Linked DNA regions of Alligator mississippiensis. The protein of the gene in region 1 interacts with the protein of each later gene in a pairwise test. Links are inferred from orthologs where the notes say so. Each region holds a gene or a part of one and is shown in the gene's direction. Other genes may lie near its edges. The genes, in order: SIAH1, NUMB, UPP2 and ATN1.

The links.
Region 2: the proteins of SIAH1 (region 1) and NUMB interact in a two-hybrid assay, tested with the Homo sapiens proteins (2 studies listed by BioGRID and IntAct). The link is inferred for Alligator mississippiensis from reciprocal best matches to the Homo sapiens genes SIAH1 and NUMB.
Region 3: the proteins of SIAH1 (region 1) and UPP2 interact in binary tests that used the Homo sapiens proteins (3 or more experiments, as listed by UniProt). The two-hybrid records come from large-scale screens. The link is inferred for Alligator mississippiensis from reciprocal best matches to the Homo sapiens genes SIAH1 and UPP2.
Region 4: the proteins of SIAH1 (region 1) and ATN1 interact in a two-hybrid assay, tested with the Homo sapiens proteins (2 studies listed by BioGRID and IntAct). The link is inferred for Alligator mississippiensis from reciprocal best matches to the Homo sapiens genes SIAH1 and ATN1.

Annotation. Positions count from the first base shown.
Region 1 is NC_081833.1:53,966,634-53,974,176, forward strand, and holds the start of SIAH1 (E3 ubiquitin-protein ligase SIAH1), read left to right. Parts: upstream 1-4,530; 5' UTR 4,531-4,789; coding exon 4,790-4,880; intron 4,881-6,698; exon of another isoform or gene 6,699-6,856; intron 6,857-7,543. UniProt on the Homo sapiens protein: E3 ubiquitin-protein ligase that mediates ubiquitination and subsequent proteasomal degradation of target proteins.
Region 2 is NC_081825.1:236,385,348-236,392,715, reverse strand, and holds the start of NUMB (protein numb homolog), read left to right. Parts: upstream 1-4,368; 5' UTR 4,369-4,445; intron 4,446-7,368. UniProt on the Homo sapiens protein: Regulates clathrin-mediated receptor endocytosis. Plays a role in the process of neurogenesis.
Region 3 is NC_081827.1:222,472,696-222,480,536, reverse strand, and holds the start of UPP2 (uridine phosphorylase 2), read left to right. Parts: upstream 1-4,826; 5' UTR 4,827-5,144; coding exon 5,145-5,170; intron 5,171-7,046; coding exon 7,047-7,164; intron 7,165-7,841. UniProt on the Homo sapiens protein: Catalyzes the reversible phosphorylytic cleavage of uridine to uracil and ribose-1-phosphate which can then be utilized as carbon and energy sources or in the rescue of pyrimidine bases for nucleotide synthesis.
Region 4 is NC_081824.1:244,060,999-244,068,269, forward strand, and holds the start of ATN1 (atrophin-1), read left to right. Parts: upstream 1-4,261; 5' UTR 4,262-4,750; intron 4,751-7,271. UniProt on the Homo sapiens protein: Transcriptional corepressor. Recruits NR2E1 to repress transcription. Promotes vascular smooth cell (VSMC) migration and orientation. Corepressor of MTG8 transcriptional repression.

The DNA of each region.
Region 1 (7,543 bases):
TCAACCTTTTTGGACTCTAACTTTTCAGAATTTAGCAGCACTCTATTTAAAAAAGCTATTGTAATTGTAGTATGAATATTTTATAAATAATATATTGATCCAATTAATAATTGATTATTTTATTGCATGATGATGTATGCAAATAATATAAGTATACTATGCACCCCCTTAGGCCTCCACAGGGGAGCACTCCCTTGGCTCTGCCCTGCCCAGAATATGTTTACTCCTGGCATGGTTCGTGGATTCCCTACATATGGCTTCAAGCCTCGTCTGGGAACTGTCAGGCCAATTTCTCCCCTTAGCTACCCCAGGGTGATTCCCCTGAACTCTAGGTGAAGGGCTCTACCCCTGGGCAGAGCCTGGGAATGCCTTTTGGCCGGACCTGGCTCCACCTGGCCAACAGGGAAAAGGTGCCGGGCTTCACATGTGACAAGTTGGAGGATGTCAAGAGGGTTGGAAGAGAAGGGGATGGGGCAGCAGAACATTACAAGGCCTGAAAGGTGGCAGGCCTTGGTTCCTCTGCCTGGGGCAAAGTAAAGAGGGAAGGTTCACTTGTGTGGGGGGACTGCTAGAAAAGCCTGAATCTGCAGTGGGGCAGGCACTGAACCCAGAGTTTGGTAGTCCATGACTTGCCTGGAGCTGGCTGCTCTGGTGGCCTTGATAGAGTTGATGTGGAGCTGGTTGCCCATGTTCTTCAGGGACTGCAGTAACCTCGTCTGGACCTGGCTGGGCAGTGGTAACAGCCTCAGAGCAGACTGAGGGAAGAACCCATGCCCCACCTTCCTGCCACAGAGACAGACACCGATGCCTGCTTACTTGGCCACAGACGAGCATGCACAAGGCCACCCAGGGGAGGGGCATCTGTGGCAACCTTAAAAGGATCTTGCAGTATCCCAGGGTGCTGTGGGGCCCTGGTTGAGAATCACTGATACTGTAGATCATATGTAGTACATCTAATAGTGCTAATATTGAGTGGTGCCCTGTGGCACTCTGCTGTACCCTTAAAGAGATGCCACAGCACCATGGTTGTGAATCACTGTTTTAGTGATCTCAGAGAAACAGAATTATAGGTAAGCAATTTCTTCTTATGACTGTACAGACAGACTGAAATCAGAGAGGCTCAAGCAGAAATGTTAACTCTACCATCTGCCAGGTATGTATTTTGTTTTTTTTTCTGTTTTTCTTCGGCTTTGGTTAAATTTGTAGCTTTAATGTATTGCTTGTTGTTGTACACCAAATATGCACATGGGTATAAGTTAAAGTTCTGAAGGCAATCTTACTTTTTTGCATTTTTCTTGACTTCTTGGAATTACTTGTCCATTCTTAACATTGTATATATGAGATTACAAGACAACATTCTTTAGTAAAAAAAAAGCTTCTCTTCATTAAAAGCAGGCAGTATTTTTCCCCGGTTTTGTTTACAGTTTGCACTTCTACTTTGGGCGGTGAAAATTCATTAAATAGTTCACTGGAACATTAACATTTCTGAAAACTGGAAGAATGTTTAAGAGCTTCAGTAATAGAGTAGACTAAGGCCCCTGACAGTTCTTCAGTTTAAGAAGTGATGGGATTTCTAATCCATGATCCTACCATGCAGGACATGTGATTTTGGGTTTGGAGATTAAATCCCAGTTGTGCCTTACTTGCTGGTGCAGGGGAAAGCTGGGAGCCCAGGCTCATGATCCCCAGCACTCCTGTATGAGCAAGATGCAACCGGGATGCTGACAATCATCTGATTGTCAAAACCCCAGATGGAGGGCACAGAGACCCTGGGATTGGTTGCTGGGAATTGGTTGCTGCAGTCCAGTTCTGGGGTCCCTGTGAGATGGGAACTAGTAAAAATGAATGTGCTGCTTGGCTGTGGACCAGGCATGGTTTTTTTAAGTTATGACACACAGGGAGCCTGGCAGCAGGCTGCTGCACCCTGATACCAGGCTCTGTGTGCATGGGGAACTGTATAAATCCTGTGCGCTCCCCAGCTGGGTGACACACGGGGTTTTCACTTCTCCCTAGAATGTGGCTGCAGCAACTGATGCCCAGTTTTCCTTGTGCTGGGATCTATGAAGCCACGTGTAGTGCCCAGCTGGGTGGTGCACAGGTTTTTGACAGGTCCCTGGGCACAAGTGGCCACGTGTTCAGTTTAAGGCATGATAGAAATGAGCCACAGAGTTATGCCAGTATCTTTTAAATATCATTTTCACAATTGCTTTTTTTTTTTTTAATATGAGGTCATAACTTCCCTCCCTTCGTTCTTTACAGATAAGTGACTCCCAAAACAGTATCCTTGAAACAGTCTTTCTGTTGCATGCCTCTTCTGTCTGATGTCTTTTGCACACTGGCCACATGTTACCCTGTTATATTCCTTTAGGAACTTCAAAATTTATTATATAAATACAGCCCTTGACAGTATTTAAATATCAAAGTGTAAAGACTGCATGGCCCAACACACCCTTTTAAATGTTTTCTACCTTTATCTCACTCAAGTTGCTTTTTAACTACTATCCAAAGTCTTTTGTACTACCAAATTGGATGGCTAAAACACAACTTATTTTTGTCTTGAACTTTAATATTGTTAAATGTTTAGCAGTGTACAAGATTGTTTATATTTGAGTGAGGAGGTGGGTGGGAGGGTGTATGTGTGTTGGACCTCTGGAAATTGCAAAACCAGGATTATCTTGGTCTATGCATGTGTAAAACTTCCAACTTTGGAGGCATAGCCTGTTATGTTTCCTAGCTTGCTTCCTTTTTCATGTTGATATTTGTACTGCAGTTTAGTCTTCAGTGGGAATATTCCATCTTTCTATCCAACCTCTAGCTCCCTCCTCCTGTGCATCTGCTTTAACTGCTTTCTCTCTGACTGCTTCTTTACATGTGAATATATACATGTTTCTCAGTTTAAGGGGAAAGAAACTGAAGTTCAGCTTCCATTTTGCTTAGGGTGCCTAAATGGATCATTCCTGAGGACTTATTTTCTCTCCCTTAGTTCAGTCTCCCATTTGTCCCCTCTACCTCATTGGACATTCACCCTGCCCCTTAATCTGGTCCTTGTTTTTCTTTCTTGAGGTGCATGAAGGTGTGTAGGGGTGTAGGTTGTAGCCGTGATGGTTTAAGGACATAGGCAGGCAAAGTTATTTGGATAAATCCGATACCTTTTTATTAGACCAACTAAAATAGGTGGAAAAAGATCTCAGATTTGCCTGAAGGTCTGTAGGGTTTTTTGTTTTGTTTTGGCTTGCTTTTGACCTTTTTAGTTCAGGGCTTGAAGTATAAAAAAGATGTTGCAAAACTAAAATTATTGGGAAGCTGAAAGAAAAGAGGATCTTTTAATTAGGCTTTTAATGCCGTTGCCTTAACGTGTATCTAGATGTCTTAACCAGCAGCAAGGGATGAATCTTTAAGCTGTTTGCCTTTTCTTGGTAGGCAGGTGATGTGCTTTTTGTTAACTTTGTCTTGATCACGTTACTATAACACGATTGGAATAACTTGTTTAAGGTCCTGCTTATGCTGGGATTTAAGGGGTGATATGAACATGTTCTAAAAACCCACAAAACCTGCTGAGGGGCTGTGCATCTCTTCTGGGAGAAGCTGCTTTATGCCGTATTGAAGAGCACAAGAGCTACTTTAAAGAGCTTTTTAATTCATTCTCAAAGTATACAGAGGATGTAGGGTCCGAGCTGCTCTGGTCTGCTGGAAGGCTCCTTGAACACCAAAATAATTGGCAACTTTCTCAGTCCTTAACTGAACTGGCTAGATACTGTTTTCCCCTTCCCTATGCGTGTTTGGGTGTGTTATGAGTACAGTATTAATAAAAGCCCTTCCTTCTGTTACTCAGACTTCGCTGGATTCGATGCTCAGAGGTTATCATGTCGGTGCTATCTCATTGGCCTCACTTTCTTATCACTGGATTGGTCCAGCTTTTTACATCTGGGGTTTTTCTGTCCTACCTCTGAACTCCGGCTGTTCTCTCCCTGCGACTTGGGCTTTGCCTGAAGTCTGTGACAGCTTTTATTTAACCAGTGATGTGACTGGGGGGTGGGGAAGAAGCGTTCGCACTGTTCTGGACTGACACCGAATCAAATGAAATGGTTCGTGAGGTGGCTGCCCCGATCCGAAGCAGAAATAGGAAGCGAAGGGGGAGAGGCCCCTCGGTGCAATGGGCGCGGAGTTGCCCACAAGTAGCCGAGCGGGCCGGGCTCCGGGTGTCGCGAGCCCGGGAGGCTGCGATGGGGCTGTCCGGCCGCGGGGCCTTGCAGCGCCCCTTCTCCGCGGCGTCTCCTTGGCTGTGGCGGGCGATCGGCCCCGCTGTTTGTTAGCTCGCCGGATCATGTGAGCCCGGCGGGGTGGGGTGGACGCCGCCGCCTCTCCCTCTTCCCCCCCCCCCCCCCCCCCCCGGCCTGTGCTGCCAGGCCGGAGCTAGGAGGAGCTCGAGTAGCGCCGGGAGCCGGGCCGGGCCTCGGGCAGCAAATGGCTTTTGCACAGCGGGCCTCGCACGGGGCGCGGGAGTGCCCGGCTCCGCTGCTCTCTCGGGCCCCGCGGCCGCGTCCCGCCGGCCCGGCCCGGCTGCCTGCGCCCGGCGGGGGGCGGCGCGGCCGGGGCCGGGGGCCGGGCGCCCCGTAGGGGCGGGAGGCGTCGGGCGCGGGGCCGGGAACCATTTTGGGAGGGAGGCGGAGGTGCCCGGCGGTGCGGACGCTGCTGGCTGCGTGAGGCGGGACCCGGCTCGGCTCTGCTGCCGGGGGAGGCCTCGTGTTTTTGTTTCTATGGGGAGACGCGATGAGCTGTTTCCCTCCTCATGACGGGGAAATCCGCCTTCAGCTTTCTGTACCCGTGGAAGGGCGTCCTCTCCGCGTGCCTGCCTGGAAGTAAAGCCGGCAAGAGGAAAGGTAGCAGCGAGCTGCGCGGCGGGACGTGGAGCCGGGGCAGCCCCAGGCTGCTTCCCGGCCGGCTCCTCGCCCGCTCGCTCCCTCCCTCTCGTCAGTTCTTTCACTGCGTTACGGAGCGTTGTTTTTCTTGCTACATGTTTACAAGGTGGTTTGGGCAGATGCGAGACCACCTACATAGCTGGAAAAAATTGTTCTCCGCCAGCTTGGGGCACAAACACCCTTCGGGCGCAGGGCGAGTCTGCTACAGCCAACACCCCCGGCATTTGTACAACTCATTTCTTCCCTTTATTTGCCCCCGCTGCTGTTAGTTCCACTTGAAAGTGTTTTGAGTTATGTAGTTTGCTCGGTAGAAACTACGCAAAATATTTCTGGTGATGACTCAGTATCTCGGTTTGTCGGTGTTGCTTAGAGACTAATTCCCCCGCCCCCGGTGAGTGGAGACTCCTGTGGTATCTCATGCACGGGACAAACCAAAATAGCAATTACATTTTTTCTTTTCACCTGATCCCGATTTGCTGTGCAGCTTAATTTATATCCAGCCTCGTGTAACTGCAAAAGTTGTTTGCATTTGTTTTTATTTTTCTGCACAACTTCTGGCTGCTTTTCCAGTTATATTTAACTGTTTACTTCAATCTAGAGAAAAATATAGTTGGTTAGCAGAAATGTTAGTGCTAACTAACGGGCTTTAAAAATTTAAACTTGGGAAAACAAACTTGAACTTCTTGCTCTGTTCATTGTTTTGTGTAACTTTTCAGCTTTTTGTAATGGGAATGGAGGTCAGACTAGTAGGGCTTGCAGTTTGGACAGCGCGGTGGCTAATTAGTGGCCCGTCAGGCTTTCTTGAATTGGAAGCGGTTGGCTTCAGTAGTTCCCCTTGAACAAATGTGGTTCTAGGTTGCCTGTTTAAAACAGTGCGATAGTTTAGTCATCTGTGCCAGCATTTCTCAACCCATGGGTCATGATGCAAAAATGGGTTGCAAGACTATATGAAAGGACTGTGAACAAACTTTAAAAAATGGATTATCCTTTAAAGGAGAAAAATGTGCGAAAATGTGGGTTTTCCCTTTCAGGTTGCCAGGGGCTGCTTGGGGCTCCCCTGCCCCATACTTGGGGGCTGGGGCCTGGGGGCACTGGGTTGGGACAGTCTATCCATGTTTACCAAATGGGTCCTGGTACAAAAGGTTGAGAACCACTCTATGTAACTTTGACTTCTGTTCAGTTTTATGAACTCTGTTTGTGATATGCAGGATTTGTTTTCTTTTATGTTGAGAGAGTTTGAACGGGCTGTATATCCTGTTTGTGACTGTATACCAAGGCCTAAGAAAGGAAAGGCTATTTTTTTCTCACCTTGTGTATAGCTGAGGAAGGAAGGAAGAGTTGCTAGATGGTTTCCAAGGAGGATTCACTTGCTAACAACTACCATTTACTGCTCATTTGCTCTCCTTTCACCCCCACCCAGAGAAACTATGGCAGTGTGAGAGCTCAGCATGTTTGAGGTGTGTAGGATTTCTCCCTGGGGCTCATGACTAAGATTTGGTTTGTGAGTAATATTGATTCTTTGTGGATGGGGCTGATAAAAGGTGACAAGGGAGTTGTCACCTAGCCTGAGTGGTAGCAGGTCTCGGGCACATGCAGCTCTTAAGAATAGTGGGAAGCAGAGACCTGCGACTCTTACAAGACTTCAGCATATGAGTGCGTGCCGGTTTCTTTTACAAAAGCCTTTGTGTTTTTCAGCTGTCCAAAGTGGATTTTGGAGGGAATGGATCAAAGCAACTGGGAGGCTTGCGGGGGGGGGGGGTGGGGGGAGGTTGATGGGTGCTGATTCCAGGGCCAAGATATTGGACTGTGGGCCTGCTTCCAAGAAAAGTGATAAACCTGAAATCTTCATCTGAAGAGTCTTAGAGTGACAGGCCAGAAGCAGCGATGAGTTGCTCCATACCAGCAAAGGGAGCTTGGCTACTCAAAAGCATTTAGAGGTACTGGATTCTCTTGCAGTGAATTGATCTCCATTTAGAGAAAGGAGGCCAAGGTCAGGTTGAGAGAGAGCGAGCTTTAATTTCCCTCTCTTTAAGTAAAAGTGCCTCAGTGGGAAAATAAATCCAAATATGTAAGTCTTATGGCTAGCTAATAATAATATCAACTTAGAGCCCCAGAGGTCCACTACTGAGGGCCCCATAATGGTAGTTTTGAATGTCTGAGAGACCCATAAAAAGGTAAGGATTGTTCAGTGCTTCAGCATGTCAGTACAGTACACATCAAGACCCTGCTGGTTAGTGTCAACCCAAGAAAAATCAAACCCTAAGCACTTGGGGCGGAACTAGGGCTGTGGGAGCTGTGTATGTGAATCAGATAAGGTGCATGGGTAACAAGGAAGTGGTTCTTAGATGAGACATTTTCCAAGCTCTGGCTATCTCGGGGACTTGTTTCCTTGCCTTGTTCTGTCTTCATGGTGTGCAGCTATCAAAGGTAGATACTTAAACATGTGCAGTCCAGACCTCAGTTATATTGGAGCTGAGTGGGCTTGTGATAACAATGCTTTGCTTCTAGGTTTCTGTAGACTTCTCTTGCTATGAAAAGGAGAACAAGAATCAGGTTGAAAGGTTAGAGAGCTGACACATGCTGAGTGTTTACCATGAAATGGGCATTAGTGTTAGATGGTCATT
Region 2 (7,368 bases), on another chromosome or scaffold:
GACCAATGATGCATTACATTGCTTTGTTCATAAAATGGATTTTGGACCCCTTTCAAAATGCAAAATCTACTGCATACCAATTTGTCGTTTACTCCTTCAATAAGTTCCTAACAGAAGAAAATGTCCTATGATTTCACTGATTCCTGTATGACATGACTATATAATTTTATTTATACTGAGGATTTTCTGACATCCTTCCATGCTCTGTCTAGCAGTACAGTATTAGCAAGGTGGAAAATTCAGTGCAAACAGGATGCATGTGTTTTAACAAGCACATCATTGAGTTCTGTTCAGAGCAATATAGGAAAAAACATCATTAACTTTCTGTCCTGTCTTTCACCTTTGCTAATACAGGTGGGGCTGTGCTGATGCTACAGAAACATTGAGAAATGTTAGGAAATTCTTGGGGCCTGTTTGAACATACAAAGCATGTTGCTTTATACCTGTGTAGTCAAAGTAGTACAATTCTTTCTGGACGTACTTATACTGTTAAAAGTATAGCATACTGTGTATGCTAGTATAGCTTATCCCTATAAAGAATGAAAGAATGATAGAGCATCCTGGCCCTCATTACGTCATACACAATGAGATTACATAAGTTAGATTTATTTTGTAACGCAGAGGGCCAGTCAGAGAAAACTAAGGTGAGCCATATCAATATCTGGTTCACTGCAGTGAAAACGTGGGGCTTGTAAAATAATAGTAAATTCCTAAATTATAGAATCCTTAGGAGAAATGGTACAGATTTTATTTCTTCCTTTGTAGCTATGGAAAGGTCTAGAGTTAAACTGAATCAATTCACTTCTGCTGGGTAGAAGTAAGCAGGACTCAAGGAACTGAGTCTACAACCCTCCAGAACCCGTGAAGCTCCACTCTATTGTGATTGTTCCTAGGTTGATGCTTTTGGGACAGGGCAGGAATAAAAATTGGGTGGAGTTTTTGGATTTGCTATGTAGACCCTGCTAGCCATTCATAACCCCTAGAATTCATAGGTTATCGTGGGGCTGTCCAACCGACAGATCCCAAGGGGTTAAACTACAGTCCCTGGACTCCTGATCCAAGTGATAACTCCTCCCTTTGTTCTCTTGCTGCTGTTGCCAGAGTCCCAAGCCTCTCCCTTCCTCCTCCAGCTTCCACTGCCTGCCCCCACCCCTGGAGCAGTGAGGCCAGTGGGGCTGAGGGACCCCATAGCTAGAGGGCTCAGGGGACTTGGGGACCTCACACATGTTGGAGTTGGTGGGATGCAGTGGGAGTGGCCCACTGTGCAGCAGTAGGGGACTATCACATCCGTGCATGTAGGGGGTCTGCATAGCAAGGCATGCCTATGTGGTGGGGCTATGGTACACTGGGGGCACATGCACTGTGGGGAGCTTTCCCAGTGCATTGTGGGCCCATGCAGTGCAGCAGGGGGGCTTGCATGGTGCAGTGTGCAGCCCATGCGGCATGCACTGGAGGTATGTGACCTACACAGTGTGTGACTGGGGTCCGGTGACTCCTGCCCATTCAGAAATTGGACAGTCCTAGGTTACTGTATCATCAGGTCTTGCGCCTGACATTAGGCCTTGGAGATGGATTTGTTGTCCTGCATCCTTGGAAACCCTCTCCAGGAAGCTCATCTATAGGCTGTAGGAATTGGCCCCCTGACCATCATAATGAGTGAGAGTGTGGTTTAATTCAAGACTTCTTTTATGGCTAGCTTTCCTTCATCCTCCCTCATGTCCTCTTTTCCCCATCTCAGTCATTAGTGGCTACCTAGGGCAAGTCAGCAGGCAGCAGCATTAACAGAACCAAGAGAATAGCTACAAGCAGGTACATTAAAAAAATGCAGATATGCTTGGAGATAGGCATATATTTGGACTTTATCGATTAAAACTGTAATGTATTTCTTTGACAGTAGTGTCCTTGGTTTGTCCTTACCAGTTCATGGCTACATCACATGTGAAAGTTGAGGTCACTTGTAACATGACAATCTTTCTCTTGGAATGAAGGTTTAAAGCTCAATACTTTATCTCAAGTTCTATGTCAGCAACAGAGAGTCCAGAGTCTAGCTTTGGTAAATATGAGGAAGAGCTAAATTAAAGCCACCTGGAACATAACATATCTAAGGAGCTATTCAGGTCACAAACAATGTTAGGCTTGTTAGGCTTCAAAAAACCTTAAGATCAATGCAAACATTCCCTTAATTTTTAAACATTTTTAGTTCAAGCAGTTTAAATATATTTTAACACATACTGAAGTTATACACTGGTGAGTGTGTGAAAACAGCAGTGCGGAAGTAACTAGAGATGAGTGTAAAAAGAAGTAGAACTAACCAGTTTATTTTCACTCACCAAGCTGAGTCATATGTAAAAAGAGGGGAAAAAATAGATTTCTGCTTTCAGTGTTGATAGTCTAACAAAAGGTGATTTTGTGGTTGAGTCACTTGCTGAGGCTCAGAAAATCAGAGTTTACTTCTCACTTCTGCCACTGACTTCGTATGTAATGATGAACAAGTAATTTAGCCTAAGTTTTAAATATGGATATTGGTTTTAGTTTGCCTCATTTGTGGATGCCCACACCGAAACACCTGAGCTCTGATTTCCCATTCCTCCATTCCTTTATTTGATTCAGAAAAAGGGGAAAGAAGAGCTTTAAGTAACCTTTGCATTTCCTGTTTCTGGGGGAGCTCAAGGCTGCCCTAACTTGTATTTGGATACAAGAGCTGCCCAAGGCCATTCACAGAAGGCAAGGAATTCTTGGCTAGTGCTTCCTGGCTCTATACCTTCTGCATGTGGTTCATTTGGGTGCTGCACCCAAAACACTACCACTGTCACTTCTTGAAGCTGACTTTCCCTACTGAACAGTAGCATAAGTAAATATGGGTGTTGTGGCAGGAGAGTTCTTGCAGGAGGACGGAGGTGGGCCCAGGCTCACACGGTCATGCTCAGCTTCCAGCTAGTTGGCACTAAGGCTCCTTGTCAAAAAGCAAAATGTAAGCAGATTTGTGCCAACTGGGCAGCACTGCCTGGCAAAGATGGTGGGCAACCCTGGAGCTCCTGAGCATCACCAGGCTGCGACAGCAGCAGCAGCAAGCCCCAACACCCTGGTGGGTATCAAAGCTCAGGAGAATTCAGATGCCTAAACTTAGGAGTCCCTTTTCTGCTGAGACACCCCCACGTCTGGACCATGAAACACTTCTTTCTTACGACATTGTAGGATTACAACATTCAGAGATTAATATCTAAATTTGATAACCATTTGGCTGCTTCAAGGGTAGCTGCATGGATTTTTAGATCATCGTTAAAAGGTCTAATTGGGCAATCATTCACAATGTGTTGCATCGTCTAAAAAAATCGCACCACAATCGCAACCCGGATTCTCTTTGGTTCTCCATTTATGGAGCAGGTGTCCACATTTTCCATGAAGTGTCTGGTTGCGATTCAGGGAGGACCAAATCTTTCTTGGTAGGTCAAATCCTAGCTGGGGAATTGTAGGGTCACTGACAATGTATTTCTGTGGTAGGCTGGTATTTGCCCAAGCTTCCCTCCATTGTTCTTTGGTGCTCTTGTTATCATCATAGAGCTTCTTGGCATATTTCCAGAAGGGTTTTCTAGATTTGAGTCTATCCAGGGGTGGCGTAGAGATGTCTTTGTTGATTGGGAGGTTTGGGTCACAATAGCTTTATGGTAGTCTCTCACACATGTGGTCTTGCGGCCGAGCTGTGGGAGAGCAGTGTTTGCTGGGCCTGGGAGCCGTGGCAATGGCGTACTTTTAGTGTTCCTGATATAATCCGCATAGCTACAGCTCTAGGCAAAGCCCAAAAAAGGGTTTCAGTTGCATGGGGCCCTTTCCTTCTATACCGGCATCAAGCTGAAATCCCTCATGCTGCACTTGGCTAGGCGCAGGTTCCCGAGGGATGAGGCGGGCACAGCGCCCCCTCTCCGCAGAGGCGCGGGAGAGGCTGCGCGGAGCCCACGAAGGGTTAACTCGGCCCAGGTGCTGTCTTCTCTGCCCCTCCCTCTCGCCTGTGCGCCGTGCAACCAACCTTGCCACCGCCACCAGTCTGCCGACCATGCTGCTGAAGGCGGGAGGGAAGGGGGCAGGATCAGTGCAACAGCTGGCAGCCCTGGCAGCCTATCTTACCTCTCAACCTCAGCAGCTTGAGCCAATCCGGAGGACGAGCGGTGAGGGGGGGGGAGGAACGGGGGTGGCAAAGCCCCCCCCCACTTCGAGTCTACCCTCCCTTAAAGTGAATAGGTGGGTACTAAGTGGGGTGGGCGGGGCCGAGCCGTGACGAGCAGGCGCGCCGAGCAATCGAAGCCAACCAGGCGGGCGCGGGCGACCAGTAGGTTGCGCGGCTGGGCGGGGGGCGGGGACTGTTGTCAGGGGGGCGGTGGCAGCGGCGGCGCTGGTGTTGGGTGGCGAAGGGCGGCCGAGGCGGCGCGGCGGGGAGGCGGCGGCGGCAGGTGAGTGTGGCCGGGGCCGAGACCGAGGCCGAGTCGCGGGGCAGGATTGGGTCCGCTGGGGGGGGGGCGGCGATATCCAGCCCGCGGTTCGGGGGCGCCGCCGCCGCTTCCTGCCCGGGGCCGCCCGGCGCCGTCCCCCCCGCTCTGGCCGGTGCCGCGCTGGGCCGGGCGGTGCCCTCGGGGCCGGCAGGTGAGGGGCCGGGCCGGGCCGGGCCGGGCCAGTGGGGAGGCTGGCGCCCGGCTCCGGCGGAGAGTGGGGCCGGCTCTGCCGGCTGGCAGCGGTCCCGGCCGCGGCCTGCCCGGCCGGTCCCGCACCACTCTCCGCCTCTTCCCGAGCTCGTGGCAGCTGCTCCGGGCTCCGGCAGGCAGCAGGGCCGGGCCGGGCTGCGGCCGCTGCCGACGCCTCTGCTGCAAGCGGCTGTTCAGGGAGGTCCCTGCGCCTCCCCGTGTGTCCCCCGCGGCCTGGGGACCGTAACAATGGCCCGGCCTGGCCGCAGCATTGTTCTCTGGCGCAGCGGAGCCGCGCGCCCTCGGGCTGCGGGCGGCCGGGCGGCAGCTTCCCACGCACCCGCGGGCTCGTAGTTCCAGAGGAAGAGGAAAAACAACGCTCGCCTCTCTTATCCCCTCCTCCCCCCCCAGTAATCCACGGAGGTTTTCCATTTCTTCATTACTTGGCCCTTCTCCATGGAAACAGCCTCTAAAAAATTGGGATCAATGTGAATTTGTGTCCAGAAACCTGAATCAAATTAGGGCCTTGTGGTCACCCTTGTATGTAAATCTGAGAGCTTTGGTTACTGAATTGATCCTACGGCAACATTCATTCATCTGTAACTGAATTAAATGGGGGCTTGAAGCCTCAGTGAAAGCTCTGGTTTGCAAAACTCGAAACATTACTACACACTCGCACTCTTGTACACACTCTCACATCCAGGCCTGCACGCACACTCTCACATGGCCACGCGCTCAGTCACATTCACACTCTCTCGCATACGTGTGTGCTTTTTCCTGCCTTTTAGGATGGACAGACCCTTGGTATCAGTCATTTAATCTGTTATCAGCCACCAGTTTGCTGTTCATAGTGACAACTATGTTGTTAACTCTTATTTCTCTTTTTAACTGCAAGTAGTGAAGGCTGAAAGAGACTCTAAACAAGACCACTTAAAAAGGGCTGGGGTATTTTCTATCGTGATACCATGAAAATGTCTTTCTGATACTGTGGCAGCAATTACCAATCCCAAGCACGTAAAAAAAAAAAAAAAGTTATATGGTTTTGTGGTCTACCTTTAAAATGACACTTTTGGGTTTGACTAGCTTTCTGGTCTCTTGCACCTTTATAGTAGATTCTTTTTCACAGCCATCCAGGCTAGAAACCGTTTTTTCCTTAGTGAAGGCTGAGGCTTGCATAATTGCTTGCACCCATGCACTGGGGGCCAGACTTGTGATATGAATGCAAGGGTTGACACCAGCCCTGTGATAAGAACTCTTGTCTCTTGCCTATAGTTGCTTATACTGACTTTCTCTTGTTGGTGCAACTGCATTAGTCCTGGAAAACAATTGTGCTTTCCCAGGGTAAGTGTACCTTATAAAGGCTTTGTCATTTGTCTTTGTGGAAAAAAGATGGGTTTACAGAACATCAGAAGTTTGGAGAAAAACTAGTTGGTCTATAAAGATTTTGAGGAAGCCATCTTCAGCTTGTTCATTGATCTGGTAGCTGTCTTTGGGCAAGTTTTAAAAGTTGTTGCTTGTTCCTAGCGCAAACATGGCTATTGTTACCTGTCTGAGTCAGTGGGTTTATTTTAATCTGTTAGCTGATCAAGGCAAACTCCAGGCACCAGTGTGCCTTTTACCTGGGCTAGCATACATTAAAACTATGACCTGTTCATCTATTTTACTCACAATGCTTCTTGTCAAAAGCTTTGTGATTAAAAAGTGTTTTGAGGAATCTGATAATTTTGAAGGGTGTGTTATCTCTATACCAGCAATTGATTGAATGTGGGTGGTAGATGTTTCGGGCCCCTTTTTGAGGATGGTGTGAAGCCAAGCCAAGCAGTCATACCATTGCTCTAGAACAGGGGTCAGCAACCCCCGGCACATGTGCTGAGCATGACACGCAAGGCCATTTTGCTTGGCACACCACCGCCAGCCTTGGTGCTACTGTCAGCCTCGGAGCTCAGGCTGCTCCCAGCAGGCAGCTGGGAGGCTGCAAGCCGTGCTGCAACGGGCTCTGTGGGCTGGCTGCAAACAGCTGTTCCAGGCTCTGGCATGTTGACACTCCAGCATCTTCCATGTTAGACGTGTTTTTTTCAACACTCCGGCCAAAAAATGTTGCCTACCTCTGCTCTAGAACCAGAAGTAAACCTTAGCTTTTATGTGTGTTCTTAAGAAATTGCTTTGGGTCTGTCTTCAGAGTCAAATCTTTGAGTCTTCAGATTTTGAGGTGAAATTTTTATCAACTTTAAATCATGGTCTAAAAGGTCATCAGCAGAAAGATTTTGGATTTGCATAAAGCAGTTCAGAAACTTCTGGATAGCCTGCCATTTCTTGAAAAAATTAGACTTGATTTTTTTTGATGTGTTGGATCATAAATGCAGCCCTTTTCTGGCTGCTTATGTGTTAGTTCATGTGCCAAAAGAATCTCTGAGTTGTTTTGGATAGATAGCTTGTTGGCTTGGGCATCTTTAAGTGCAAGTCTAGAAAGCACAAATGCCATCAAGCCTGCGAAGATGGAAATTGTATATTAGGACATTGGGCCAGGAATAGTTTCTAGCATATGATAGCTAAACTTGACCTAAATGTGACTGCCGCTTTTAGTCCAAACAAGCCTCAAGGGTAGATCCTGGGCAAAAATGTGGGCTTTTGGGGGTTTGTTTATTTTTTGATTCATTGTATTTGTTTTTACTTGAGTTAGCTGACCTTGATTAAC
Region 3 (7,841 bases), on another chromosome or scaffold:
TTTGCTAGAGGCATTCTAAAATATTTTAGAGCAAATTGCATACAGGTAAATGACTAGGCAGGCAAAATACATTTGAGACATGAACTCAGAGGCAAATTTAATAATTAATAATGAGTTTGTGTATTCATAACTTTTTTTTAGGCATATATTTCAAATTTGATTTTCTTTAAGTTAGAAACACTTTCCTATAAATAATTTAGCTTCTACTTCTATAGTGCCTTCTCCTGGATGATCTCAAAAGTTCTTCACAAACTTTAAGGAATACATCTTCGCAATAGTCCTCCGAGGAAGGGAAGCATCTTGCTTTTTAGATAAGCAACCACAGGCTTTAATCAATTTACCTAGTTGCAATGCAGGGGCAGTGACAGGGTAATAAACAGAATTCAGCATCCTGATCCCAGTTCTGACACAAAGATTTTCCTAAGCCTAACAGCCCATAGGGTAATCATGGGTAAGGCATGGTAAAGGTTTCTGTAGCAAGCAGCACACAAGGGAGAGTTGAATCTAGTATTATGTCAGTTTTGAGTTATACACCACATTTATTCCGATGAGGCAAAAAGTGTTGTGGCAGAACCACTACTGCCCACTCCAGCCATAGAGATACCATGCAATACAGAAATGCTACTGCTGATGGAACTGTTTTCCATACCCTGCCGCAGGGCGCTGTCTAGACAGGCTTAAACCAGCGTAGCAAAGGGCTGCCTGGCAAGACTTTCAGCATTTTAAAAAGTGGGCCTAAGAAACGAGGTGTGTAAAGAACTGGTTAACCTCTGTATCTTAAATACAAAGGGATCACTGACTTAGTGCCAATTGACTTAGTGCCATTTTGACACCCTGAGAGTTTGATAAGCAACATATCAGCATATAAGAAAGAAGACTCGGAAATAATACAATAAATCATCTTTTATAAACAGTGTGACTGTGTTTCTATTTTTAGTTACTGTAACAGGGACTTGAAACAGAAATTCCTCTTCTAACTTCCCTGTTGTCCTTTCAGGGTGGAGAGTAGTTATACTGCTTGCAGTTGCATCGCAATTAAAGTAGGAAAGCAAATGCCCAAAGTCACCTAAGAAACCAGCGGCAGAGCTGAGCCTTGGATTCAGGATACACAAAGCCCAGCCTACCGCAGTCTCCTCCAGACCACACTGCCCTTTGGTAAATGAACAGGAAGCAGCCTGACTGATTTAAGTGCTCAGAAATCATTGATGTTCAGTGGGACATAGGTCCCCAATTTCTTTAGTCTCCCTTGAAAATGTCAGCATAAAACCAAAAAAGTCATTAGGATAAAGCCTTAAATGGGTTTAATCTAAACTGACAGAATAGAAGCTCTTAACAATTCAGCTCTATTCTAAATAGTATAATATAAAAACTACTTAGTCCCCCAACTTCTACTGATTGGCTCAATCTTAAAACAGACTAAACACATTGCTGTCATTAGGACAGCACAGTGCACAATTAAACCCCCCCAAAAAACAGCAGCATTTTAAGGGCAACATTTATGCACAGTGTTTTTGAAAGGATTTCAGCAACACAGTAGGAGAATGAGCATTCAACAATAGAGTGGGCATCTCTCAGGAACCACTGCATCTCTTCGTAAGAGTGAAGACATATCCCGCCTTCTCTGAACTTTGTCAGGCCTGGAAACCTGTTCTCACTTACAAATGCCATTTCTGGATTGAGTTTTAGTTGCAAAGGTAAATAATAGCATGATGTGATTTCCTCTCTTCTGTGTCTCAATGATTTCTGTATCAAACATACTGGATTACCAGCAGAGACCACAACACTTCCTCCTAGTCCTAGAAACTCATCTGGGCTCTGACACACAAGCTGTATTCTTTCCATCTCATGCATCACAACCAGTAATAAGGATTCCTCAGGCCAAATTACTCCCTTAGCAATAGCTGTGCAACTCAATTGACTTCAGTGTATTTGCACATTTGTAGCTGATTGGAGTCCAGTAAACAATTCTGTTTGATACACAAGGTGTAGAAACCAGTTCACTCCACCTCAGCTGTGTTTTATCTAAAGGGCTAAAAAGCACAAATAGAAACAGGAAAGAATATTTTAGTCACAACAGAGGAATTTGAATAATGCATCAGAAGAACTGTTGAATAAGGAGAATCACATTTCTAATTTGTTAGACAAAAATACAACAAAGGAAACAAAACAATTCCACTTGGCACCTTTATACTGTGATCTCATCTTCTTTAAAATCTTTACAACTGCCATTTGCAAGTAACTAACCTCACTATTGTATTCTCTCTAACAAGTAACGTTAATTAGCCAAAACTGTAAAGATTTTATTTTTCATGACAATCTCTGCATTAAATGCAGTGTGCTGAAACATTTATGTCTTTGATTTGAAAACTATAGTGATTATGTTGTTTAAAGTATACAATTTAAGACTGAGAACAATGCATGTGTAGTCCTCAATAACTTTGGAGATACTCATTTTTACAAGAGATCAAGAGAAGTTCTCTCCAGCACATAAGACACATCCTTACCTTGACTGTATTACCTGTATGTTTCGATACTGTTGGCTCATAATGCTGACTCATCTTTGCAAAATGTTTTACCATCTTTAGATGCTACATGCTGAAAGCTCAGAGTGCAGTGTAACATGGAAATTATACATTTTCCACTCTGAAAACTCTGTATTAAGCATGTTAAACTGTGGTTTGAAGCTACCCAGGGTTAACATAGAGCTGCAGAGGTCTTTTTCCAAAATCTTTTGGGTGTGGGATTTCTTGCAGAGTCCAGAGACAGCTGAAAATTGTGAGGATTAGGTGCTGATAATGACCCTGAGGATAATTGTGGGGATGATGGGAAAACAGGCCCAAGAAGCAGTAGAAGGGCCAGAGGGGTCAACTGGCCCACTGTTATAAGATCCCAATATTCACAATGTTTAAAGCTGAGCTGTGGGAATAAACTGGGGTGTTTGGATGGGAAGGTCTCTTGGTAATTGAAATGGCCTGACTCAAGCATTCAGGTAAACGTGAAGAGCTGTCTTTCCTTCTGACCTCTTGCAGACTGTACTATGGAAAGTTGACTTTGCAAAGACCCTCGCCAGTCAAGCCCTGGAGGGTTTGCACAGCTCTAATTACAATCCTGAATGGTTCCAACTGAAGGGAAAGTGGAGACAAGATTTTAAAAATTAGAACAAGCCTTTTGCATAAGTGAAGCTTGCCCAGGAGGCTCTCATTAGCACTCTGTCCATTTTTATAGATCCTTCATGACTATTCAGTGGTTCAATAAAATGATGAGTATTTGCCGTAATAACCAAGGGAGCTGCTACATGGGACACATAAATCATAGCAGAATTATCTAAGACTGCTGCAGATTGAATGTGTTGGCTACAGACTCAGACATGTTTATGAGCTCAAAGCATTGGAGTAGCCAATCATCCACACTTGCCTAATTAGCCAACTTTTTCACCTGTAATAGTCAAATGTAAATGCCAAATGAGAAGTTTCTGTCCTTCCAGTCAGTGCCTAAAACAGGGTTTAATATTGTTGCAGGTAACAGGCCACAGCTCTAAAACCTTCAGTCTTTTTTATGTTCTGAAAAGACAGTTCACATGTTTAAAATGCAAGTGTACACCCATCTGAAATTGAATCAAAGTGCTGACAACATTTATGGGAGAAATGCCCAGCAAAGAACTAAGTGTTTATAGTGTCCTTCAAGAAGGGTCAGATGATCTTGTAGTTTAACCTGTTAGAAGCAGACTTTCCTGCTGATTTGGCCACATTGTTTTATTTTGTCAGAAACATCTTTTAGAACAAAAAAAGGTGAAAACAGTTGCTGATTGATACAAAGGTTTCTGCTCCAGTGCTGATGCATCACTACATCAGTCTCTCCTAAACCACTACAGGTTTAGATGAAGCAATTTGTTCTACTGCATATTCCTAAGAGCTGCAAATCTATGAATCTAATGAATCTATGTTGTTTTCTTCCTGCCTCCCACCCAACTTTTCATTTCCAACCTCTTCCATGTTCCTGCATCATGTAGACAGAGGAACGTGTAGACAAAGCTTAAATATCATGAAATAGCATTCTGAGCTGCAAATGTTGTGCTTACCAAAGCATAGAGTAGTACCACCTTTGTGCCAGAGCTTAGTTTAATGGAACTGGCAGCCAATTTTTTCACTTTCAAGTGGCTCTAATATGAATGAGTGAGCCAGATCCAGAAAAGGAATCAGGCATCTAACACAAGACTTGGGCAAACTTTTGGCACTTAGGTCCTATAGTGCAATATACCCCAGTCACCTGTTCAAGGGGTGCCTTGACTCAGTTGAGATCTCCCTGTTTGGCCTGAAAGTTCTCTACATTCAGTTCAGCCTTCTGTGCATGCCCAGTACTGCTCCAGTCTGAGCAGCTAGGCACTGAGCTGCTGCCAAAGCCTTATGGGTATCGAGAAACTAGGCAAAGTTTATATAGCACTAAATCCCCTGAGGGGTCTCCTCTCAGAAGTTCCCTAAGGTACTGCAAACTTTCATTGGACCCCCCATTAGATGAGAGTTAATTTGTTGTGTGATCAGCCACTTTTAACGTGGGCTGCAGTCATGCACTTATGTCATGGCACCGCTGTAGAGTGCTTTCAGGGGGCTGATCACACAACAAGTGTCACTGCTGTCAGTGCCCTATGAGATCAGGCAGGCAATTTGCACTCTCAGATGCTTTTGCTCTCAGAATGTACATGAGTCATGTGAGTCATATGCAGAGATAACTGCCAAGTGCGGGACCCCGAGCAAAGAGTAAATATATCAGCAGCAAGAGGTTAACTAGCTCTGGCCCTTGTGTTACCTTAGCATAATAGTGGGAGGTGAATTAAGGTTAGAAGTAACACACCTTCAAAAACAGCCAATCTATAGAAGGCCTTCTCAAACAAGTAACACATCCACAGGAGAAGGAATATTTCATTGCTGTTGGGTTGAATAGAATATATCAGAAGGAAAAAAGTTGCATTACTTATCTTGGAATGTATTTAACTTCCTGAGGAGCTGCTTCAAATAGTCTTACATGAGTTTAAAACTTAGCAGCTGAAGTAACAGAAGGTATTTTCCTTACCTTGAGTCAACCCAGGAGTGTTTTTCTGAAAGTGGGAATTCATAACATCCCTCTTTGCTGAATCCAACAAACCCGTAATGACTGAAAAAAAAGGTTATGCTGGGTAAGTAAAGGAGAGAGTTTGAGATCTGTTTTGATACGATTAGATGTGCATTTTCTGTTTTGCACTAGCCTTTATTTAAATATTGACCTTCACTGGTATTTAGTCCTGCTAAATTTATTATAGCAACTGGAAAAGGAATGCAAAGTAGAACTCTACTGTCTTAGTAGTTTTATTGTAATTTAAGATCTAATTCAGGGATTTGGGACAGGGATTTGGGACAACATGGAATCACATCATTTGTTAAGAGTTTAGCAAACTCTGCTATATGAACTAATCCAGAATTAGGGCATAAGTATATTACTGGTCATCTATTTCTGGATGAATTGTGTTAAAAAAGACTTAAGGTTTTTCTCATTGTTAAGATTAGTAGGAAATATTAATGGTAATTTTCTTTTTGCAGAACTTTTTTGGAGATAATTACAACATATTTTCTGATAACTGTATAAATGCAAAGAAAAATATTAATGCAACACTAAGGTTTTAACTGAGAGTGAAAATATTTCACTGGCCATTTATCTGGCAATAATTAAAACAGTAAGATTTTTCCCTAAACATTACCACAACAGCCACTGGCTGTAATGCAGGAAGTGTACGTGGGCTGGGTCCACCTACTGCAGTCTTTCGAAATAGAAGCCTGTGAGGAACCAGCTGCTTAAAGCCCAAGAGGGGACCAGAAACAAAGTCTTGGCAGTAAATTACAAGCTGTTGCTGGCACAGTAGCCAGTGCAGAATGCAATGAAAGGGCTAGGAGAGTTCGTGGGTAAAGCTGGATTTGAATCCCAGATATAGGTGGCAGCTGAAAGACCAGGCTTGGAAACCATTTATGTGGAATGGATACAATACGGAAGCTCTTTGTTGCTGAATGAATAGATGAATGCAGTGGGGTGGCCTGGCCTGCCACCTCCCCACTTTGTTCACCTACTTAAGATCTGAGCTGTTAGTTCTTTCCATTCTGTTCCCATAGTGCCTGATGTCTGTATTTGTTCTTCCTGTGGCAGTGGTCTTAGGTTTTGGCAGAATGGGTGCATTTTCCCAGACTTAACTTCACCTGTTCATCTTGTTTCCTTCCATTTTCCCTCTCCCTTTTGCGGCCTCAAAGGTTTTCCTACGTGTTCTGATCTTCCTTCACTGCAGTGTGTCTGGGCTCATCTACACCCCTCTCACCCTAGCCTACACCCCTTGTGATCTGTATCATTTTTACCTTTTCCCTTTACTCTCACCTAAGCACTGCCTTATTTTCTCTCTCTCTCGCTTCAGTTCTTCACTTCAGTCTCTCTCCCTACCTCCATTCTTTCATCCCTGTCCCTTTACTTTGCTTCCCCCTCAAGATCCTGCCCTCATCCTTTGGTTGTGCATTAAAGAAGAAGCCTAAGCAGTCCACTCCACTCATTCCTTCTGTAACAGTGATTACAGTTTGCTAGTGAGACCTAGTGACCTCTTCTGATGAGTTCCTCTGTGGTCACCACACTTCAGCCCTGCCTTAGAAATGACAATGCCAGATCCAGCTGTCTGCTATCACAGTGGCAGAAATGGGGGTGCTTCTTGATACAACTCTTTTCTACTTGCCAATTACAACTACAGGAAAAGAGTAGTGGTGCAATTGCATAAAAGTTGTTGGGGACTAAGAGAGGGTGAAAGAGTCCTGAAGTTATATTAAGAGGAACATCTACAGAATGGGAAGAAAATACCTGGTCTCCCCCCGCAGTGGTTGGGCCTATGACACATAGCCTAGGTCTCTTGGGCATACATAGCATTATAACAAGGCAACCCAAATTACTATATAATAGTCCTGATACTGGCTCAGATGTCATGAATTCCCTTGTTTGATTTGACTTTGTCCACATAGATTCTTAAAAGTTGTTTTTTCCCCCTCCAGAAATGGGTTTGTTCATGTTAAAAATCCTCATTTGGCTCTGATGGATGAAGACATTCTCTATCACTTAGATTTAGGAACAAAAACACACAACCTGCCAGCGATGTTTGGTGACATAAAGGTAAACAACAAATGCAAAGCGACAACTTGGAACACAAATAATCTCATTCCTCCTCCCCTTTCTTATCACAGATTTTACAGATCCCTTTATCATTCTCCTTGGCTCTTTCGAGGAGAATGAGTTAAAGCTCCCACAGGAAATGCTGCCTTTCTGAGAAGCAACTGAGAAACTGTGCTGTAGCTTCGGCAATGGAGATTGCCCTTCTTTTCTCAATAAAAGATGTATATGCAAAAGCTAAACTTATAACAGGCACAATGAGCTACTTTCTTCCCTGGAGTAGTTCTACTGACTTAGTAAAAGAAAGAACATTGATTTCAAGGGATGAACGTGGCCCATCATCATAGGTGTCATTTCAAAGTCTATGTGTTTTATTAGTAAGGAAAGAAGGATGTGCCCCATTGCTGCCATGACAGCAGAGCTAAATTATATCCCAGAATGCCTTCAGCCGCTGTTCCCAAAGGAATTTTTGCTCTGAAAGGTAGAATCCTATCCCAAGAGCTTTTCACACAGAAACCCACATAATTCTGTGATTCACTAATCTGCTCAGAAACCTAAATAAAAAGTTCTTTTTGATAAAATACATCTCAGTAAAACCAAGTTTCAAGTCTGCCATAAGAAAGTAGCATAAGCGCATAAGACCATCAGTGGAGTTCCACAGGGGAAGGACATTAGGCCTG
Region 4 (7,271 bases), on another chromosome or scaffold:
AGCCCAGCTCCTATCCCAGCGGGTGCACAGACTAAAAAGTTTGTGCGCGGCCAGCCTTTTACTTGTGCGTGGTCGCGTACGCGCACCTTAGAGGGAACCTTACTTGCAAGCCTATTGAGGTTGGCCTGGATCACAAACCTATCCTCAAGTTTGGAGACTCTTCCCCAAAGTTTGGTGTTGTCAGCTAACTTGGCCAGTCTGCTTTTGCACCAGTGTCCAGATCATTTATAAATACATTAAAGAGTACAGGTCCAAGAACAGAGCCTTGGGGGACGCCACTCGTCACTGAGTGCCATGTTGATTCAGTTCCATTAACTACCACTCTCTGGGTCCGACCTTGGAGCCAGTTCTCCAGCCATCAGATTGTGGAGTAGTCGAGGCTGCAGTTGCCCATTTTTTCCATGAGGACATCATGGAACACCGGGTCAAAGGCTTTTTTGAAGTCCAAATATATGACATCAACCTCTTCCCTCTGCCAGTCAGTACACCTGCCCCCATTCTCGCAAGCAACAGTTCACTAAAATTCCTTGGGCACTCGGCTGGGGGGCTTGAATGGGGCCATAAGTGGGCAGGGGGAGGCATCCGGGAGCAGGATGGGTGGGCAGCCAGGGCCAGGACTGGGATTGTGGGATGGTGACTGCATGGGGCCAGGGCCCTGGGCAGACCTATGATCCACTACTGACGTCCTTGCAATGGGCACTGGTTCCAGGCAGGGGCATGTAGGGAGTGGATCGTGGCTCTGTCCCCAGCTCCAGCCCCGCACTGTCACTGGCTAGTGGTCCCAAGGTCTCTATGGAGACCAGCCGGGACCTGTGTGGGCAGGGCAAATGTCTAGACAGACAGGATGAGGCCACCTGTGGGCAGGAAGAAGCATCCGGGGCTGGGATCTTGGATGGTGATAACTTGGCACCAGAGCCAGGGGCAGAGCTATGATCTGCTCCCCACAAGTCCCTGCCCACAGAACCTACACTCGTCATGGGGCCGTGTGGGCAGCAGATTGCAGCTCTGCCCCAGCCCCATGCTGTCACTGCTTCACAATCCTGCCCCGTGATCTTGACCTCATCTGCCTGTCCTGCTCCCAAATACCATTTCCTGCCTGCCCGTGGCCCCATCCCATCCCATCCCATCCACCTGGCCTGCCTGCATGGGTCCTGCCCCCAGTGTTGGGTGCAGGGCAGATGGGCTGGGGTGCCAAGGCAGTGGGGCTGGGCCCAGTGGTGGTGGCAGCTGGAAGGAGCCACCGCCACTGGGGTTGCTGGGAAGTGAGTCCAACTACTGCACCGCTCCAGCCCTGCTGGGTTTCTGAACTGACTGCACATGCCACAGCCTGGGCTGTGCCCTGAGCCTGAGCTATGGGACCTGCCACAGGCTGGACAAAATCCCTTAGTGGGTCAGACAGATCCTACTCTCAACCTGTATTTTGCCCACCTCTGAGGTAAAGGATGGTCTCATGGAGAATTAGACTGTATTTTTACCTTTGCCATAGAGTTCTTATGCGATGTGGAGCAAGACACTTAATCCAGGTTTTCACTGGTGTCCCTAATGCTTGGAAGAAGATCATGAACTTTTGCCAATCTACCTCATTATCCTTCTTCAAAAACCTCATTAAATATGATGCCTACAAAAATTTGACAGTGGTTAGGCTGTTAGAGTTATGAGACTACTGCCTTTCTTTCTGTCCAATATCATCTCATTATTTCTGGCATTTCCTTTTGAATCTATCTATATCCCTCTAGGCAGGGATATTTCTTCTGTTCTGTATTTGTTCAGTACCTAATACACTGGGATCAAGGCCCATGAATGGGTCTTCTAGGTTCAACAGCTATACAAATGTATTCCTTATTTTCTGGGGCCTAACTTGAAAAAACACTTGGACTCTGATAAGTACAGGAGACAAGCATTCACAACCATGCTTTAGAATAGATAAATTAGAGGAGTGTTCTGAACAGATAACGTGCTATTAATTGCTAGTACTCTGAAAAGTCAGACCATTTCCAGTTGGTCACTCCAACTATATGGACACTTCTGACAATTTTAGTATTAATCGTTGAGCCTTAGTTCCCTGTATGTGAAATAGGGATAATGGTAGCTTACAGGAATATTAAAAAGATAAGTTCATTAACATTTGTAAAGCATCCAGATATTATGGTGATGAGCATCATTGAAAAACCCATGAGAAAAGTAATAATTCTGTGTTCATTGCAGGGTTTGGATGCCGTACAGTAAATAACGCTTGGAGCCACATAATGAATGATGAAGATAAAAATAAATATTGGCTATCCATTCAGTGAGTGCTGTTCAACCTGTGCACAGAAAGAAGCAGTAGTCCTGTGGAAAAAATAGAATGTGATAGTAAAATTAAAATCAGAATACATATGCATAAGGGTCCCAAATTAAAGTTGTACTGGCAACCTTAATTCTAGCACGTCCTAATTTTCAAGCACTTGACTTGACAATCTGGCATTCTTTGGGGTTTTCTAGTACAGTAAAATATCATTATAACGTTAGAAACATTATGGCACAGTTTGAGGCCTCTATACGTGCACTTAAGGAGCTATTAGGTGTTGCTGATAGGAACATCCTTATCTACTGAACTTAATCCAGCCAATGAAGGGTAACATGGTCTTGGTCACTTGCACTCTTTCTTGCTCAAGCTCTCTCTCCCTCCCTCTCTCTCTCTCTCACACCCACACACTCATGCATACCCACACACACACTGACCCACCCAAACACACGTATGTGCATGTGCACACCTACCCACCCAGACATGTGCGGATGTGCACACACCCACACCCACCATTTCCTTGTGTCAAGGACTGACATCTCCAGATGAAACCAATGGGAGCAGAATCAGATCCTTCTCTCTCTCTCACACAAAACAAACATCATTAGCCACTTCATTTAATTACAACCCTTTCTCTCCAAAATAGTTAGAGCATGTATTTTCAATAAAATTGAATTCTGGGGATTGTATAAAGAGGCCTTTTGAAGCAGAGGCATGAAAAGAAACACCTGATGAAACCCTAAGACTGAAAAATTCAGGGTCATTTTTAATGACGTATAACTCAAGCAGTCTTTTTGCTGAGATGAATTCAGCAGTCTCATAAACCTCCTTTGCATTGGGAATAAAGGTGGCAATTTTCAAATTGAAATAATTGGGAGGCTAAAGGAAGGCCTGGGTTGGAAGCTTACTGCAACCTTAACTCGGGAGAAGCTCCCCACTCCATAATAAATGGTGTTTTGAGGATGCCACCAATGTATTTTCACTCCTGTTCACTGTGTGGGTTTATCGTTTTGGACTGGAATCTTGTATTTTCTAAGGCATACAGCTCTTGGGCCTCGTTGCCAGCTGCATATATTTATCCGTTCTTTCTGCGTGTGCCTGCCTCTGCTCCTCTCCATCCCTCTCCTCCCCACAGTCTCAGGTACAAAGGCGCGGATTGGGTTACAGGCTTCTCCATTCTTGCAGGGCTGAGAGCCCTCTCTTGGCCTCCACACTATAGACTCTCCCTTTGTGCCGTTGCTTGGTAACTGGGAAAGGGGGATGGGACAGGCTCCAGGAGGGAAAGATGGAGAGGGGAGGGGGGTGAGCAATTGAAGTGTGTGCAGTTTGTGTAATCCTTCAGGCAGACTCTGAATGCTGATTAGATCCAGGCCGGTGAAAGCAAAGGCCAGGCATGGAGCTGTGGCCGGCCGGTTTGCACAGGCACCGCTGACCGGGCTGGGGGAGGATGCCGGCTCCAGGCACACCCTTGGCGCTGGGAGCGGCTGCTCAGCGGGTGGCGGTGCTGGAGAGCGGCCGGGAGGGCGCCAGGCTCCAGCCCCGACCCGGGCAAGACAGGGGCGGGCAAGTCTTGAGGCCGGAGGGGGGGCCTTGGCTTGTAGGGCGCCCTACAAGACCCCTCTCCCTCCCCCCGACTCAAGCCTGGCTTCAGACGGGATTAAAGGGGGCCGCCTCCCGTGGGCAGAGAAACAAGCTCTCAGACCCGCACCCTGTGGCCCTGGCGCTCCTAAGGTGCCGCCCGCCCGCCTGGCCCGGGGCTGGGGGTGCAGGCCGGGACTCCCGCTCCGGAGCGATCCAAGCCGGCTCTTCCCTCCCTTTCCTGATGCTGTTGCTCCCGGGTCTGTCTTGCCAAAAAAGCTCCAGGCTTCTCCCATTCCTTTGTACTGGGGCTTGGGTGGGAGGGGGCTTGCGGGGAGCCCGAGGAGTGGCACTGAGCCGGGGAGGGAGGCTGAGGGGCCCGGGGGCAGCAGCCGGGCCTCCACCCAGGGGCCCCGGGAAGGGGGGGCGCCGCGGGGCAGGTGAAGGCTCCCGCCGCCCCGCACTGCGTGTGCGTGTGTGTGCGCGCGTGATCGAGGGGGGGCAGCTGGGAGTGGGGCGCACCCCCTCGGCCCCAGGGGCGGGGGCTGTAGCGGGCCGGCCCCCCTGCACACACACGCACACGCACACGCCTCCCTGCCCCTTCCTCCCTCCCGCTGCCGCGCGGAGCGGCAGGATTCCTCCTCCTCCCCCGCTCCCCCGGCGGGCGCGGGGCGAGAGCCGCGGCGGACTGGGATGGCGGGCGGCGGGGCGCGGGCGGGCGCGGGGGCCGCGCGGCGCGGGGGCCGGGGCCGGGGCCGGGGCAGAGCCGCCGGCGCCTGAGCGCTGCTGCTGCCGCTCCTCCGCCGCCCCGGCCGGGCCCTGCGGCCGCTCCGCCACCCCCGGCGAGGACGGGCGCCTTCCCCTGCAGCCGACGGCTCCGCAGCGCCGGTGAGTCCGCGCCCGGGGCGAGGGGCGGGGGCGCGCGGGCAGCCCCCAGGGGGAGAGGGCGGCACTCCCTGCTCCCCCCGCAGCGGGGCCGGGGCTGGGGCCGGGCCCGAGCCGCGCCACAACAATGCTGGACAAGGAGCAGCAGCCCGGGCTGCCGCTGCCCGCGGACACCCTTGGGTCTCACTTCGCGGCGCTGCCTCTGCCCGCCCGGGCCGCTTGGGGAGAGGAGAGCGCAGCGCGGCGCCCCCCGGGCAGGACGGAGCTGCTGGCCCGGGCGCTGCCTCTCCGCACGCGCTTCAGGGCCCCCCCACCCATTCACTGCAGGGGGTGCCCCAGGGAAGAGACCCGGCCTGCAAGTGGGTTGTAGCCTGGCTTTCCTGGCCCCTTTGACCCGGCTTTTCTGGCTTCTCGGCTGGGCCGCTCATGTGTTGAGGGCTCGGCCTCTAGTCTTGTGCCTGCTGCCCCCATGGCTGGGGCCAGCCAGTTGGGTTTTGCAGGGAGCCCCCTGGGCTGTTAGCTGGGGATCCTCTTGGGCATGATCCCCTTTGGGCCACCTGCCCTTTTGTGCTCGGTGACTGTCACATTGCTACAATGCGACTCACTTGCTGGTTCTTGCATTAGCCCACCATCATTATTGTTTATCACTGAGGTGTATTTGATTGCCTTTTCTGGTGGCCATTGTGCCATCTCCGTGTTGACAGAGTTGCTATTGTGCTGGTCAATGAGCCGTGGTAGAGATCATCCTCAAATCGAAGGACTGCCGAGGACGACGTTTTGGCCAACCTCTTAGCATTATTTGCTTTTTTTTCCTTTGTGCTCTGGCTCCCTTGGCTGTTAGTTGCCCTACTGTTACTCTGATTGCCCCATGCTTCGTGGCCAGTAGGGCTCCTCTGCCCTTTTCTGGTTCTTCTGGAACACTGAGTCCTTACACAGCTTCAGTATCTCTGGCCCCAGTTGTACTGGGAGGATTGCCTGAGATTTGATGTGCCTCCTGAAACTGAAGGAGAGGGCAAAGACGACAGGGACCTATGGAGAGGGGAGAAAATGGCGAGTAATGTGGTTTGCATGTATGTGCATTCAGAGGGGTGTGCGCTCAGTGTTGGCCTGAACAGTGGAGTACTGTGTGAAGAATTGAGATGCTTCATGAGTGATGTATTTCACATTAGATACCAGGTTGAAGCGTTAATCTGTTGTGATTGTTAAAGTTCCCATCACTTTCTGCAGGAGTTGGGGTGCTAACCTCAGTGCTCCCACCTCAGTGCTCTCTATGGTAGCTTGGTTCTGCCTGCCGAAACCGCCCCATAGTTGTTGTGAGATTCAGTGCTCTCTTTCACTCCCTGCCCTTTACCATTGTGCAGCATTGCTGTATGACTGTTAAAGAACTAAATGCCCTGTACCCCAGAGGTAGACAAATTTAAATAAGCAGATGAAGTCACTCCTACAAAATCCTGACTGACATCAGGGGGGAGGTTGTGAACAGGAGCTGGTCAAATGATTTGTTGGGATTAATTTATCTGAGAAATATCACTCTTTTCTCCTTGGACTGTGTCATTATTTTCACATATGTTACTTATGATTATGTAACAAATCATCTGTGAGAATAAATGTTGGCCAATGGTTGCTAATGAGCTGCTTGAAAGGAGAATTTGCGCCATGTGGTGAGACCTCTAAGTCACAGATGATGGTTTCTGTTTCCTGATTGGAGGATCTGGTCTTCCTAGGCAGGAAGACCTCTTTTCTCTTTGTGGTCTTGGGGAAATTGTTCGAATTCTTGACTGAGCTTTTCAGTATGGCTCTGAAGGAACCATAAAGCTCGCTGGTAACAATACATCTCACCCAATCATTTGCAAATTTAATGTCTCATGAATCCTAATGAAGGGGTTCAATGGGTTTAATCTGTTCTAGTATTTTTCCTCCTCAGGCTTTGCTCCCCTCAGGCAAATTCAGTGGGCCCTTTTATCCCCACCTTATGGCTTGTCTACACAGGAATACCAGTATAGCTCCCTGTTTGGGCACTTTTATTCCTGAATACCAGGGATCAAAAAGGAATGAATGCAATATGACTATAGCTGCATTCCTATACAGGTATAATTACATCAATACATTTTCTCCTGTAGAACAGCGCTTACCTGAGCTTCACTGAGCCAGATAAGTTTGGCTCTTCTGATCTCTTCTGAGGGTTCAGTCCCTGTAGCCCCTTGTGTCTTTCTTTAATTCTTCACTGAGTTCCCTAGAGTTTGTTGTCATCTTTCTGGATTGTGGGTTGTAGAGCTAAGCACAGTATTCCACGTGAGGTCTCCCCACAGCTCTATAAGGAGAAATGACCTTCTTCCATCTTTGGGTCAGAGGAACCCAGATCAGAGTGCAGTATTCAAAGAGCTGTAGAGGGAGGGCTTGTCTCTTCTTTGAACTGAGACAATAATGGACAGACTCCTGTGTCACTGCACATGCCCACACAGCAGTTACCTGACCATGGATTTGCTATATTTGGCATTTATAGTTTGCAGTCCTTTTCCATGTG